Linked DNA regions of Drosophila melanogaster. The protein of the gene in region 3 interacts with the protein of the main gene of each other region in a biochemical or structural test. Each region holds a gene or a part of one and is shown on either strand. Other genes may lie near its edges. The genes, in order: Chrac-14, Chrac-16 and Iswi.

Region 1 (3,046 bases), on a different chromosome or scaffold from region 3:
ATGAAAACCGGTCGCACACGATAGTATAGCAATTTACAGAGACGATGGAATAGACCCAGTAAATGGGCATTACTCAGGGCCGATCCCTTGTTGTCCTGAAAGCCCTTCACAACCTGATGCAACCAAATCGATATATCTGCAGGACGAAAAGTACTCCAATCAGCAAGTATTTCATTAGGTGGCGAAAAACGATGCTTACCCACTGCTAGGATTTTGCCCTCCAAAGTCTCTACGGGGACTGGCTTGCCGCACGGCTCAATGAGCTTCCACAAGCCCGTAACTCCCATTTTCTACTAAAATATTAATTGTATAAAACATGCAAAATAATAACTAACTAAACTTTTTGTTGCGATAAGACGCGCTTTTTTAAACAGCTGTTTCCAGTGCTGGAAAGAACACGCGGTTATCTATCTGGATGATTTTTAAAACAGTGATTTTCTGATCACATATATAAACAAATAATTACTGAAATACTTAAATATTATTCTGACACCTTTATATACTTTGAATGAAGGCGTAAAAAACTAGATCGGACTGGATTGAAATGCGGCATTATTTAAGGGTGTAATTCCAACCGTCACTTACAATCCCAAATTAATCCCATGTAAACGTTGACTAACAACATAATTTAGTCTTTGAGGAAAGTGACAAAACACAAGTGAAGTTCTTAGATAATGCCTATGTTTAATGTTTTTTGTTAATGCTCAATACTAGCTTTGTTCTTAATGACTGAAGAGGATAATTGATCCGTATAGTTTCTCCTATTCGTAATCACTCGGGGGCTTCCTCTGCTGTTGCGGTGGCACTGGCGTTGGCATTTTCGGCAGTGTTGGAATCCTTCTTGCTGGCCTTGCTCTCCTTTTTCTCCTTGACCACTTTACGATAGACCTCGAGATCCTGCGTCAGAGAGGGCACGAAGCTTTCGAAGTCTAGCTCGGTGAGGGTCTGTAGAATATCCTTGGCCGTGATGGTCTTGTGGTTCTGCTTGTGGGCCAACGCCGTCGACGAGGATGTCACGAAGATGGCAAACACAGATGCCGCTCGGGCGATCGCTGCTCGCGCTTCCTTGCTGACACTAGCTGACTCCGGCAGTGCTTCCTTGATGAGCCGGCCAATCACGGCATTCGGCAGGTTAAGATCCTCGATGCGCTCGACCATTTTGCTGCTGCTTATCTGCTTTTACTTGGTGGGCACTTTTGATTTTCCGTCTAGATTTCGGCGTCTTTGCTTCCCGCGTAAAGAGTAAACAGCTGGCTGAACAGTGTTGGACAAGGCCAGCGTGCACGCATCTACACCAGCGATGTGGCAACTCCCCCACTCAATTCTGTTTGCGCCGCCTCGTTCGCATCAATTGTTTACACATTTTTATAAATAACAGCCAATTACCCCGGCCTAAATGTGCACGGAGCGATTCGGGCCAAACTTGAAGCTGTTCCCCTCCGAACTAACGTGATACAAGTCCTGTGCGTGTGCCAGCTACCACGCACATGGACCAGCAACAAGCGACGCCGCCAAAAAAACGCAGGCACAGCGAGTACCACGATCCAGATTATCAGCAAACGGAAGTTTCTAGCCAGGATGAGGAAGAAACCTGCGCAGAAGCCGAGTCGCCCGGTCAAAGAAAGTGGACCAAGACGGAACAGTCGGATGGCATGCTGCCGTTGTCCGACAAATTTCAGCGCATCCGGGAGCTGCTTCGTCTGGAGTTCCAGCGCGAAATCTCTCAGAAGGTCGAGCAGCTGGCCGAGATCGACCGACGACTGCTGCAAGGACGACAACTGTTGGACAGACTACGCTATCAGGTGGTCAGCGAATATTACCGAAAGCAGCAGGTCCCCCTCACCGGCGCGGATATTGCGAAAGTGCGCGGCGACAGCCTTTTTGGGGACGACATAGCCGCTCCGCAGCTGCCACTGCATCCAGCCATTAAAAAAATCGTTGGCAAGCGCCCTGTTGTCATCCAAAATCATTTGCCAGAGCGCACGGCGGCCACCTTGGCCAAAGAAACCATCCGACTGAGGAATCCGGCTCATCGTCGGGCGGAACGAAGGCGGCAACAGAAGATCAAGGAGCAGGGCATCGTAACCGATCACTCCAAGGACAAAAAAGATCAGCCAGAGCAGGAACCTCCCATTTCCGTTAAGTTGGAGGACGAGCAGCCGTGCACCAGCCGACAGGCCCACGAAAGGCAAGTGGAGCTGAATGCCTCGCGGCTGAATAACAAGAACAAATTCAACTTCGTGGTGGGTAATACTTCCAAATACATTGGCGAAGACTCTCGAGAGAATGGCACAGGTGGGAATGCTTTGACCTATAAGTGGTTGGTCTATGTGCAAGGCAAAGATCTACCTGAACCACTTGAAAAATACATTAAAAAGGTAAGTAATTCCCATAAGCACGTACGGAGTGATTCAATCTCTTCTTCGCAATTCTAGGTGCGCTTCCACCTCCATCCGTCATACCGCCCAAACGACATCGTGGACGTGCACAGGTCTCCGTTTCAGCTTAACCGACATGGTTGGGGCGAGTTTCCGATGCGCATCCAGCTATTTTTCCAAGAGCACTTGCAGCAGAAACCCGTGCAACTAATGCACACGGTGGTGCTGGATAAAACAATGTGTGGACTGCACACGATGGGCGCAGAGACCACTGTGGAAATATGGCTGAGAGCAAAACAGGCGATAACGAAACAGAAAAGCGGCAAACCTCATCCTCCCCATGAACAGGAGACTGCAGTTCCTGCTCCACCTCTGGCTGCTCCGAATGTTTTAGAGCCTTCGGTTTTCGCCTTTCCTGGAGAGTCATGCAAACCGCGCACCATTTCAATCACTCAAAATAAGGAGGAACTTGATGACAATCTGTTTGCTGGTATCAACAAAATTGAACTCAGCGACGACATTGAGAAAATTGAACCAACTGTGTTGGTTTCAGAGCCCCTGAAGTTAAACTACAGTCCAAGAAAGCAGCCACCCACTCCGTCATCGCCTCCTAGGACTCAACTTCGGTTAAATGCGGCTCAGGTCACCGCTTCGAAGCCTTCTGTGGT
Region 2 (3,486 bases), on a different chromosome or scaffold from region 3:
CTGCGCAAGAATAGTCCCAAGGATCATCTGCTGCCCGATGGCCTGACCATCGATACCGAGGGCAACCTGTATGTGGCCACCTTCAATGGCGCCACCATCTACAAGGTTAATCCCAAGTGAGTAGTTCACTCTAACATTCGTGATCGAGTGTTAAATGTCGTACTTCATTGCAGCACTGGCAAGATTCTGCTTGAGATCAAGTTCCCAACCAAACAGATTACCTCCGCCGCCTTCGGTGGCCCCAACTTGGACATCCTGTACGTGACCACTGCCGCCAAGTTCGATCAGCCCGCTCCAGCTGGCACCACCTACAAGGTGACCGGACTGAACGCCACCGGCTATCCCGGCGTCAACCTGAAGGTCTAGGAGCTGCAATCTCTATCTATCCTTAGCCGCAGTAAAATGTACCAATCGAATCCAAGTGCAATTATATGTTATGCTCTTTAACGTTTTAAATCGCGTCTATCAATGTTTTGCATGCTAGTTAGGTTATCCTTTTTTGCAGTTCTAGTTCAAGGTCAGCTTAAGGATCACATTCTCTCCTGGGAATATCCAGGATCATCATGTAAACTCACAAAGAGGTTGACTATGCTCTACTTTACTCTGATTTCAAACAACAATCTTATCAGCCGCAGACACACGGTAATCATCCGCGGATCTTATGGTCATTTGGAGGACGCAGTGCTCTTATGCTTCTTTATTAATCAGTGGTTCTATAAACAATTTTATACTTATCGTCTAGTCTAAAATTAAAGATAGCAAGGTGGCGTAAAAAATCAGTCGATGTTTTGGTGAATGGAGATCATCCACTCAATTTCGGTGTAGATAAACATCTGCATGACCGTCTATTCATCAGACTCCGATTCCGATTCGGACTCTTCTTCATCGTCATCATCGTCGTCGTCATCGTCGTCGTCGCTGCCGGCGGAGCGATTTAGCCGCAGCATCTCCTGGAACTGGTGTACACGGATCTTTTGCGGCACGATCTGCAGCAGAAACTCCAGATTCTTGTTCTTATTGACCACCTGGGAGAGATGCTCGTACTTGAGCGCTTCGCCCGGTCGCTGGCCGAATTCCTCCGTGTATGCCGCGCCCGCCAAATGGCGAACGAATAGCTCCGTGCACTTGGTCATCAGGAAGAGCACCTCGTTGGTGATCAAGCCCGTGTCCATGGAGCTCTTCATGATCGTTCGCACGCGGCTGAGGGGCAGAAAGGTTTCCGCGGTCGGTGGACGCTCCACGGGTGGTTGGCTCCTTGGTTCGCCCATTTGTTTACTTAATTCCCAAGCAAACTATGGCTTGGGAATTTTTTTGGTTTTAGAGCTGGGCTCACAAGTGGAGCTGTGAAACTATCGATGTTACAATCGAGGCATGAAATTCGTACCTTTCTGAGACACTATCGATTCTTTTTTTTTATTTGCTATCGATGGTTATGGTTTATGAAGACTTAAAATAAGTAACCGCAGGGCTTCCCTTAAAACGAACAATGCTGGCATACTTCTATTTTTGCAAGGAATTGGATGTGCACAATAATATATGTGTTACTTTCTCAGAATTAAGTTATAGCGCTAAATATATAAAAATTGAGAAACCCATTCGGATTTGCCTATACTTTCAGCTCTAGCTGGAGCGGGAATTTAACCAAATAACGTTGCGCCGATATGCTATCGGTAGCCACAACAAGTATTTAATAAAAGTTTTCCAAATATTTCAATTTATTAGTGGAAAAACCGCTCTAAGCAAATACCTTTAACTTAATCAAGAGATTAGGGGTAAAACGATTAGGATCTGCACGATTTATAAGGAAACATTCAATTGCAACAACATTTAGACAAGTCAATATTATCTACTTTTGTCTTTTCAGTATGCAATCAACTTTGGATTTTCACACTTATAGCTTAAAAATCTGTCTTCATTTTCGAACTCACATATAAATAAATATCAATAAATTATTATTGCACTTGATTTGTTTGCAGCAACGTTGCCAGACTTCCGTAATCGATGACTATCGAACCTATCGCTGCGCGGCATGTGCAACACTGCGTTTTCTGCTGCCCCCTTTTGGCTGTTGTTTCGTGTGTTGACCAATAAATTTTTCGCGTACTTTTCCAACTTTTCAATTACCGAACCGCAATTGCCGCCAAAATAGATAGCCGATAGCTAGTCGAGCGAGTAACCAGCGAGTTTTTGGCCAATTCACGCGACGATCAGGGGCAGTGGAAGCAGGAGCAGGATCTCGACCAGATCGCCAGGAAGCGACATTTCCATTAGAGCGGTTCAAGTGAAAGCGAGTGAGCTGCACGGCACGAGAGAACGAGACAGACAGACGGCGAGAGTGAGAGCGAGCGAGAGAGCTAGTTAAATCCTTTCGAGAATTCCAGGAATTCAAGCATCCAAAACAGCTGCTGCTGCCGCAAAATCATCAACATCATCACCATCGCTGTTTGTGAAACGTTGTTCAAGCAACGGCGTGCCAACAAACCAGTATCGACATTTAGATCTAGATTCGAATCCCCTATCCACATAGCTTGTGGGTGCACTTTTCCAGTTGGCCAATCTCAACCAGCAATTAAAAATGGCCGCTGCCGCTGCGAGCGCAGTGAATGCAGTGAACGACTGCTTCAGCATCGGATCCACAGTCGTCTGTACGACCTGTTTCAACGAGGAGGTGGAGGGCGAGGTGCTGGCCTTCGATCACAACACAAAGATGCTTATCCTGAGTATCCTTTTGCAACGAAATCCCCGAAATGCATACCCACACACACACACAACTTGCCCGCCGGGTGAAAGCGAGCACTTTCTCCGGCTGTCCACAGGGATCTCTTGAGCTGTCTGGACAAAAAGTCACACTGTCCTTTAGATTCGTATATAATTCTAATTCACACTCATCTTAACTGATAGCATTCACATATCACCTATCTCTTATCAAACCCATTGTTTACTGCTTGACAATTTGGTTCTCCGTACATCGTATATCTTTGCCCCCCGTTCCTGCTCTTCTCTTCCCTTTCCAACCGCATAGAATGCCGATCCAAGTCCACGGAGGAGCTGAGTGATATCTACGCGATGAACCTCTCGCTCTGCAGCAACGTGCAGGTGATCAAGGAGTGCAACGGCAACTTTGATGATCCGCAAAAGCTTAATCTGGAACAGGTAAGCATGCCAGCTCTGACCACTTACATAAATATATATATATATATATATATATTGCTTATACAGGTCAAAATGCGTCTGAGGAAAACAGTTGAGCGAAGACAGGACTACTTGAAGTCTAAGAATGCTGATGTCAGTCCAGAGGCGCAGGAACTCTATAGAGCGATAGCCAAACAATACGGGGTAATGACCTCTTGCACGATGCCCTATCATCATTAACCATTGCTATTTCTTTTACTATTTTGTAGTACAATGAAGTCTCCTGGCAAGGACTTAACATACAGATCCTAAATGAAGTCACCATCTCGCCGCCGTACCGAGTGGACAACGTGG
Region 3 (6,568 bases):
TGATTAACACGCTCCGATTCATAAGCCCAGGACGAGATCAACGCCTGGTTTGCCTCCGACAAGTAGCTGTCTCTATCAAAGTGTCCGGCCAAAATGAGAAATGTCGTGGCCAAAGCTGCTCCGAAAGAGGCGGAACTGCCCAAACCCGCACCCACGGTTAGCTGGCTGTCTACCTGCACCTGGAAACCGGTTTGCAGCGTCAGTTTCTTGTCGCCGGGTGCGGAGAGTACAGCGCCGGCCAGCAAATAGTATATGGAGATGAATGCCCGCTGGGTGTGCTGCTTCGGTGCATTGCCTCCGGATCGTTCAAGTTGTTTGGACACCTCTGCGCGGACGGCTTCCAACAGATTGGCCGTGCTATCTGATGGGTATTTACTCCTAAATTCAGCCAAAAATCCATTGAACTCCGGCAACTGGATCTCCAGTGTGCAGTTAAGGGCCTCCAGTTGAAAACTTGCCACCTGGCTGTCCTCCAGCTGCCGAAATCTCAGAGTAGTGCCCAAACCCACTACGGCGGCGAGGGCGGGACGATGATAGACCACGGCGTGTTCGCCATGGAGTATGACCTTGCCCGGAGAATGGACCTGGAACTTGAGCATTGTTCTTGATGATCTCCGTGTATTGTGTGTTCTGTATTCCGTTTGGCTATGGCTTTATCGGTTTATCAGCTGTTTCGAATTGTAATGCTAATGCCTTTCGAGTGGACGACCTGCGACAAGTAGTTAAACTTTTATGGCTGTATTTCTTTATGTAACTTATGCATTTAGTGGATCATTTGCGTTGTTTATTCGGTAACTCCTATTTCTGGCTGCCGATTCCTGTGCTTTCCCTTTCACTTTCTTTGTGCGACTGGCGTTTTTCGGCTTGTTCGTCTCTTCGATCGGAAAGCGCAACCATCAGCAAAACGAACAACAGGTTTTTGCGGCTAGTGTTTGCTGTTGTTGTATCGCTCGTGTATATGTATGTGTGTTGTTGGTTTTTTTTTATTCGGTACTACTATTGGGCTTTCACTTTCTCCCACTCTTCGGGTGTGTAGGATTTCTGGGAGAATGCATGGATTTCTTTCAGTTCTTCGGCAAGCGTTGAGTTAACTAATCTATGCTTCTGGAGAAGGGTCTTGCCGCTGAAGGCTGGCGATACGATTACGGCGCTGAACTTGCCGCCACAGCCGTCTGATTCGTCCGTAACACTCACGTACTCCGTCTGCAGTTCCCGTTTGAGCTTCTCCTCGAGGTACTTTGAGTCGTATTTACTCATTTTGGATGGTTTTTTTTTCAAACGAAACGAGGTGATGGAGTGGTTGTGTGACCGTATTGGGCTTCAGGCAAAAACAGGTTTTCCATAAGCCGGGTGGTAGTTTTTCTATCTGCGCTGACCTTGGCCACACCTAGCACCATTTTAAATGTTCTTTTTCGGGGGGTTTCTTGCGATATATCTATTAAATACTTTAATATGGGGGTTGTCTAAGTAATTTAACAGATTTTGTCTTTGTTCATATAGTTTGGGGCAGCCATTCAAGTCTAAAACGATGTAGTACATATTGTCATATTTAGATTCAGTTTCCACCACAGGGCTTATTTCTAAAATATTATGAGACCCCATTAGACTTTTCGATTCCTGCTATATTCCATCATCTCAAACTTAAACATTAGGCAATAATTTTTAAACAAACGCAAACAATTTAAAAAGATAACCTATTTGATTAATCAGAATAACGGCTTTGTCTAAAACTAATAATAACGGCACACGGCCAGTGCTGCCATTCATAGTAATCCATCAAAACTATCGATAGTTCGTATTCTCGATTTGTTTGCCGCCACCGTCGCTGCCGCAGCCAACTTCGCGCATTCATCGCATAATCTAGCGATAGCACGCGCAGATTTCCCACCATTCATTAAAAAAAATCGCATGTAATTATTTACAATTTGTTTAAGCGAAACAAACATTGTTTTGTGTAAATTGCCTTTTATTTATATACTGAAAGTATAACTAACAGGTTGCACACTCGATTTTCAGTTCACATTAAACGACACCAGTGTGCAGCACGCTTGATTGGCGAGGGGAAATTTGTGGAAAAATTAAGTTCATTTAGAGACAGACGCCGGCATTGCAAATATGTCCAAAACAGATACAGCTGCCGTGGAGGCAACCGAAGAGAACTCGGTAAGTTAATATACAGCAGGCTTTGTCTAAGGACTTCTATACATATATTCTGAACTCTGCCAGAACGAGACGACTTCAGATGCGGCCACCAGTTCATCCGGTGAAAAGGAGGCTGAGTTCGACAACAAAATCGAGGCTGATCGCAGTAGGCGCTTTGATTTCCTGCTAAAGCAGACGGAGATATTCACCCACTTCATGACTAACAGCGCTAAGAGTCCCACGAAGCCTAAGGGTAGACCCAAGAAGATCAAAGACAAGGACAAGGAAAAGGATGTGGCCGAGTGAGTTAAACTCCCCCTATAAAAAAGCCAACTACTTTATCTATTGGTGTACTTTTGTATTAAACAGTCATCGTCATCGCAAGACAGAGCAGGAGGAGGATGAGGAGTTGCTGGCGGAAGACTCGGCCACCAAGGAGATCTTTCGCTTCGATGCCTCACCCGCCTACATCAAAAGTGGAGAGATGCGTGACTACCAGATTCGCGGTCTTAACTGGATGATTTCGCTTTACGAAAATGGTATCAATGGAATTCTGGCCGATGAAATGGGTCTAGGAAAGACCCTGCAGACCATATCTCTGCTGGGTTACCTCAAGCATTTCAAGTGAGTTTTCATAAACATCTATTGTTTTAAAGAAATCTCTAAATACCATATTTGCGTGCAGAAATCAAGCTGGACCACACATCGTCATCGTGCCAAAGTCAACGCTTCAGAATTGGGTAAATGAGTTTAAAAAGTGGTGTCCTTCCCTCAGAGCCGTCTGCCTTATTGGTGACCAGGACACCCGTAACACCTTCATTAGAGATGTGCTCATGCCTGGCGAGTGGGACGTTTGCGTGACCTCCTATGAGATGTGTATCCGCGAGAAGTCTGTATTCAAGAAGTTCAACTGGCGCTATTTGGTCATCGACGAGGCGCATCGTATCAAGAACGAGAAGTCGAAGCTGTCGGAGATTCTGCGAGAGTTTAAGACCGCTAATCGTCTACTTATCACGGGTACTCCGCTGCAGAATAACCTCCACGAGCTGTGGGCCCTGCTTAATTTCCTGCTGCCCGATGTGTTTAATTCGTCAGAGGATTTTGACGAATGGTTCAACACGAACACCTGCCTGGGTGACGATGCATTGATTACGCGTTTGCATGCCGTGCTGAAACCTTTCCTGCTCCGTCGTCTAAAGGCCGAAGTGGAGAAGCGTCTGAAGCCGAAGAAGGAGATGAAAATATTTGTGGGTCTATCCAAGATGCAACGCGACTGGTACACCAAGGTGCTGCTTAAGGACATTGATGTAGTGAACGGTGCTGGCAAAGTGGAGAAGATGCGACTGCAGAACATCCTTATGCAGCTCCGCAAGTGCACCAACCACCCATATTTGTTTGATGGCGCCGAGCCCGGTCCGCCATACACCACGGACACGCATTTGGTGTATAACTCCGGAAAGATGGCTATTCTGGACAAGCTGCTGCCCAAGCTCCAAGAGCAGGGATCGCGTGTGTTGATTTTCTCACAAATGACGAGGATGTTGGATATCCTCGAGGACTACTGTCACTGGCGCAACTACAACTATTGCCGCCTGGATGGTCAGACGCCGCACGAAGATCGTAACAGGCAGATTCAGGAATTTAACATGGACAACAGCGCCAAGTTTCTCTTCATGTTGTCCACCCGAGCCGGTGGTTTGGGTATCAATTTGGCTACCGCTGATGTTGTCATCATTTACGACTCGGATTGGAATCCTCAAATGGATTTGCAAGCTATGGATCGTGCTCATCGTATTGGTCAAAAGAAGCAAGTGCGCGTTTTCCGGCTGATCACCGAAAGTACAGTGGAGGAGAAGATCGTGGAGAGAGCAGAGGTCAAGCTCCGTCTGGACAAGATGGTCATCCAGGGGGGCAGATTGGTTGACAACCGCTCCAATCAGTTGAACAAGGATGAAATGCTTAATATAATCCGTTTTGGAGCTAACCAAGTGTTCAGCTCTAAGGAGACAGACATTACCGATGAGGACATCGATGTTATTTTGGAGCGCGGTGAGGCCAAGACGGCCGAGCAAAAGGCAGCACTGGACAGTCTGGGCGAGAGTTCGCTGCGGACGTTCACAATGGACACAAACGGCGAGGCAGGAACTTCTTCCGTATATCAATTCGAGGGTGAGGATTGGCGCGAGAAGCAAAAGCTAAATGCGCTGGGCAACTGGATCGAGCCACCGAAGCGTGAACGCAAAGCCAACTATGCTGTGGATGCCTATTTCCGCGAGGCTCTCCGTGTCTCCGAACCCAAGGCACCGAAGGCTCCCCGCCCACCCAAGCAGCCTATCGTTCAGGACTTTCAGTTCTTCCCACCCCGTCTGTTTGAGCTGCTCGACCAGGAAATCTACTATTTCCGCAAGACTGTTGGTTACAAGGTGCCCAAGAACACGGAACTAGGATCGGATGCCACCAAAGTGCAGCGCGAGGAGCAGCGCAAGATCGATGAGGCAGAGCCGCTTACCGAGGAAGAGATCCAGGAGAAGGAGAATCTACTCTCACAGGGTTTCACTGCCTGGACCAAGCGCGATTTCAACCAGTTCATCAAGGCTAACGAAAAGTACGGTCGGGATGATATTGACAACATTGCCAAGGACGTGGAGGGCAAGACTCCGGAGGAGGTTATCGAGTACAACGCCGTGTTTTGGGAGCGATGCACTGAGTTGCAGGATATTGAGCGAATAATGGGACAGATTGAGCGTGGAGAGGGCAAGATTCAACGGCGATTGTCTATTAAGAAGGCTTTGGATCAAAAGGTAGTTAGCATTGTTTCTGTAGAGTATCTTTAATATATATGAATATATTTTTGTTGTAGATGTCGCGGTATCGCGCCCCCTTCCATCAGTTGCGGCTGCAATATGGTAATAACAAGGGCAAGAATTACACTGAAATAGAGGATCGCTTTCTGGTATGCATGCTTCACAAGTTGGGCTTTGACAAGGAGAATGTCTACGAAGAGCTGCGAGCGGCTATAAGGTGAGCAAAAACTTGGTTTTAAATATGAGTAAACCCCTTATACATTTCCGTTCTCTTACAGAGCTTCTCCGCAATTCCGCTTTGACTGGTTCATCAAATCTAGAACCGCTTTGGAGCTACAGCGTCGCTGCAACACGTTGATTACCCTTATTGAACGTGAAAACATTGAGCTGGAAGAGAAAGAACGCGCCGAGAAAAAGAAAAAGGCACCAAAGGGCAGCGTGTCCGCTGGAAGTGGAAGTGCCAGCTCGAACACTCCAGCACCCGCGCCCCAACCGAAGGCCAGTCAAAAGCGGAAGAGCGAGGTGGTGGCAACCAGTTCCAACTCGAAAAAGAAGAAGAAGTAAAGCGACAAAGCAAACAGATATTTTTCTGAGATTCGGCTCTACACTCAGCACTAGGCAGTTAAATAGTTAAGACAAGCGATTACTTAAACATATTTTACTCTATATAGTTAATAGTTCATATCTCACGCCGGAAGCAATATCACACCAACCCCACCCCCAAAATCTGAAGTTTTTTTAAACACCCGCCTACACATCCGACTACATTACTATTGCGTGCCGCTGTATTCTATTCCAAATAATTGTATTGTGTTCTAAGACTATAATCATTATATTTATATAAATCAACACAGCATACAGATTGTTTCACTTTATATTCAGAGGTGGATTCCCCGTAAGTAAAAGGCGACATATTGAATGTTTTGGTACTGTTCGCTTTATGTTTTGGAATGCTGAGCAACTTAACGTAATAACATATATAAATTCTATGAATTGCTGCTTAGTTTGTGTAACAGGGCACTTAAACTTAATATCATCTTGTTCATGCAGTCAACGGCATCGGCAATTTGGCATCCGAGCCGCTTGACCATGTTCAACATGGCCATAAGTTGGGTCTGATGTGAATGTGGGCTTCGCCTGCTTTTTGAACTCATACTTGTCTTTCATCGCGCTTCCATTGTTGGAGCTACCTGCATCTAGTGTAATACTACGTCTCTGTTTGAAGGTTGAACCCATACATATCGAATCCTTAGTCGTCGTCGCTATACATTTCGATGATCTCGTTGATGCTGGCGACGGCACCAGCAACCAGGGCAAGAATGGAGAACACGCCCAGGAAGATGTTCTTGACCAGCTTCCACTTGCACACGCCCAGGCGGTCGGGCCACAGATAGACGGTCTCCACGAAACTGGGCACAAAGATGCCCAGCAGCGAGAAGAACACGGCACCCACCAGACTGATGAAGGGTTCCAGGTTGGGGATAGCAGCAGCTACACCACCGCTAAGCAGGATAATGCCGCTGCGCAGCAGAATCTGTGTAATATTGTGCTTCTCGGGACTGAACTTGTGACTGATCTTGCGCCAGAGGATCTCGTTGGGCACATAGAACTGCAGGCCAAAG

What was found.
Region 1: the proteins of Iswi (region 3) and Chrac-14 form a complex in vitro, tested with the Drosophila melanogaster proteins (one study listed by BioGRID).
Region 2: the proteins of Iswi (region 3) and Chrac-16 form a complex in vitro, tested with the Drosophila melanogaster proteins (one study listed by BioGRID).

What each region holds. Positions count from the first base shown.
Region 1 is NT_033779.5:8,435,617-8,438,662, reverse strand, and holds Chrac-14 (chromatin accessibility complex 14kD protein), read right to left. Parts: upstream 1,259-3,046; 5' UTR 1,159-1,258; coding exon 772-1,158; 3' UTR 667-771; downstream 1-666. Other genes in the region: mus201 (mutagen-sensitive 201), read right to left, coding at 1-136, 200-287; D12, read left to right, coding at 1,488-2,378, 2,436-3,046. UniProt on the Drosophila melanogaster protein: Accessory component of the DNA polymerase epsilon complex. Participates in DNA repair and in chromosomal DNA replication. Histone-like protein which promotes nucleosome sliding of ATP-dependent nucleosome remodeling complexes.
Region 2 is NC_004354.4:12,016,606-12,020,091, forward strand, and holds Chrac-16 (chromatin accessibility complex 16kD protein), read right to left. Parts: upstream 1,357-3,486; 5' UTR 1,269-1,356; coding exon 846-1,268; 3' UTR 620-845; downstream 1-619. Other genes in the region: regucalcin, read left to right, coding at 1-116, 174-366; Lsm12a (LSM12 homolog a), read left to right, coding at 2,576-2,720, 3,023-3,153, 3,220-3,336, 3,402-3,486. UniProt on the Drosophila melanogaster protein: Histone-like protein which promotes nucleosome sliding of ATP-dependent nucleosome remodeling complexes. Part of the chromatin-accessibility complex (CHRAC) which uses energy/ATP to increase the general accessibility of DNA in chromatin.
Region 3 is NT_033778.4:12,634,828-12,641,395, forward strand, and holds Iswi (imitation SWI), read left to right. Parts: upstream 1-1,843; 5' UTR 1,844-1,954; exon of another isoform or gene 1,955-2,016; 5' UTR 2,017-2,115; coding exon 2,116-2,163; intron 2,164-2,226; coding exon 2,227-2,444; intron 2,445-2,511; coding exon 2,512-2,766; intron 2,767-2,827; coding exon 2,828-4,943; intron 4,944-5,002; coding exon 5,003-5,163; intron 5,164-5,224; coding exon 5,225-5,510; 3' UTR 5,511-5,801; downstream 5,802-6,568. Other genes in the region: Mvk (mevalonate kinase), read right to left, coding at 1-599; CG33672 (uncharacterized protein), read right to left, coding at 997-1,257; CG8785 (uncharacterized protein), read right to left, coding at 6,196-6,568.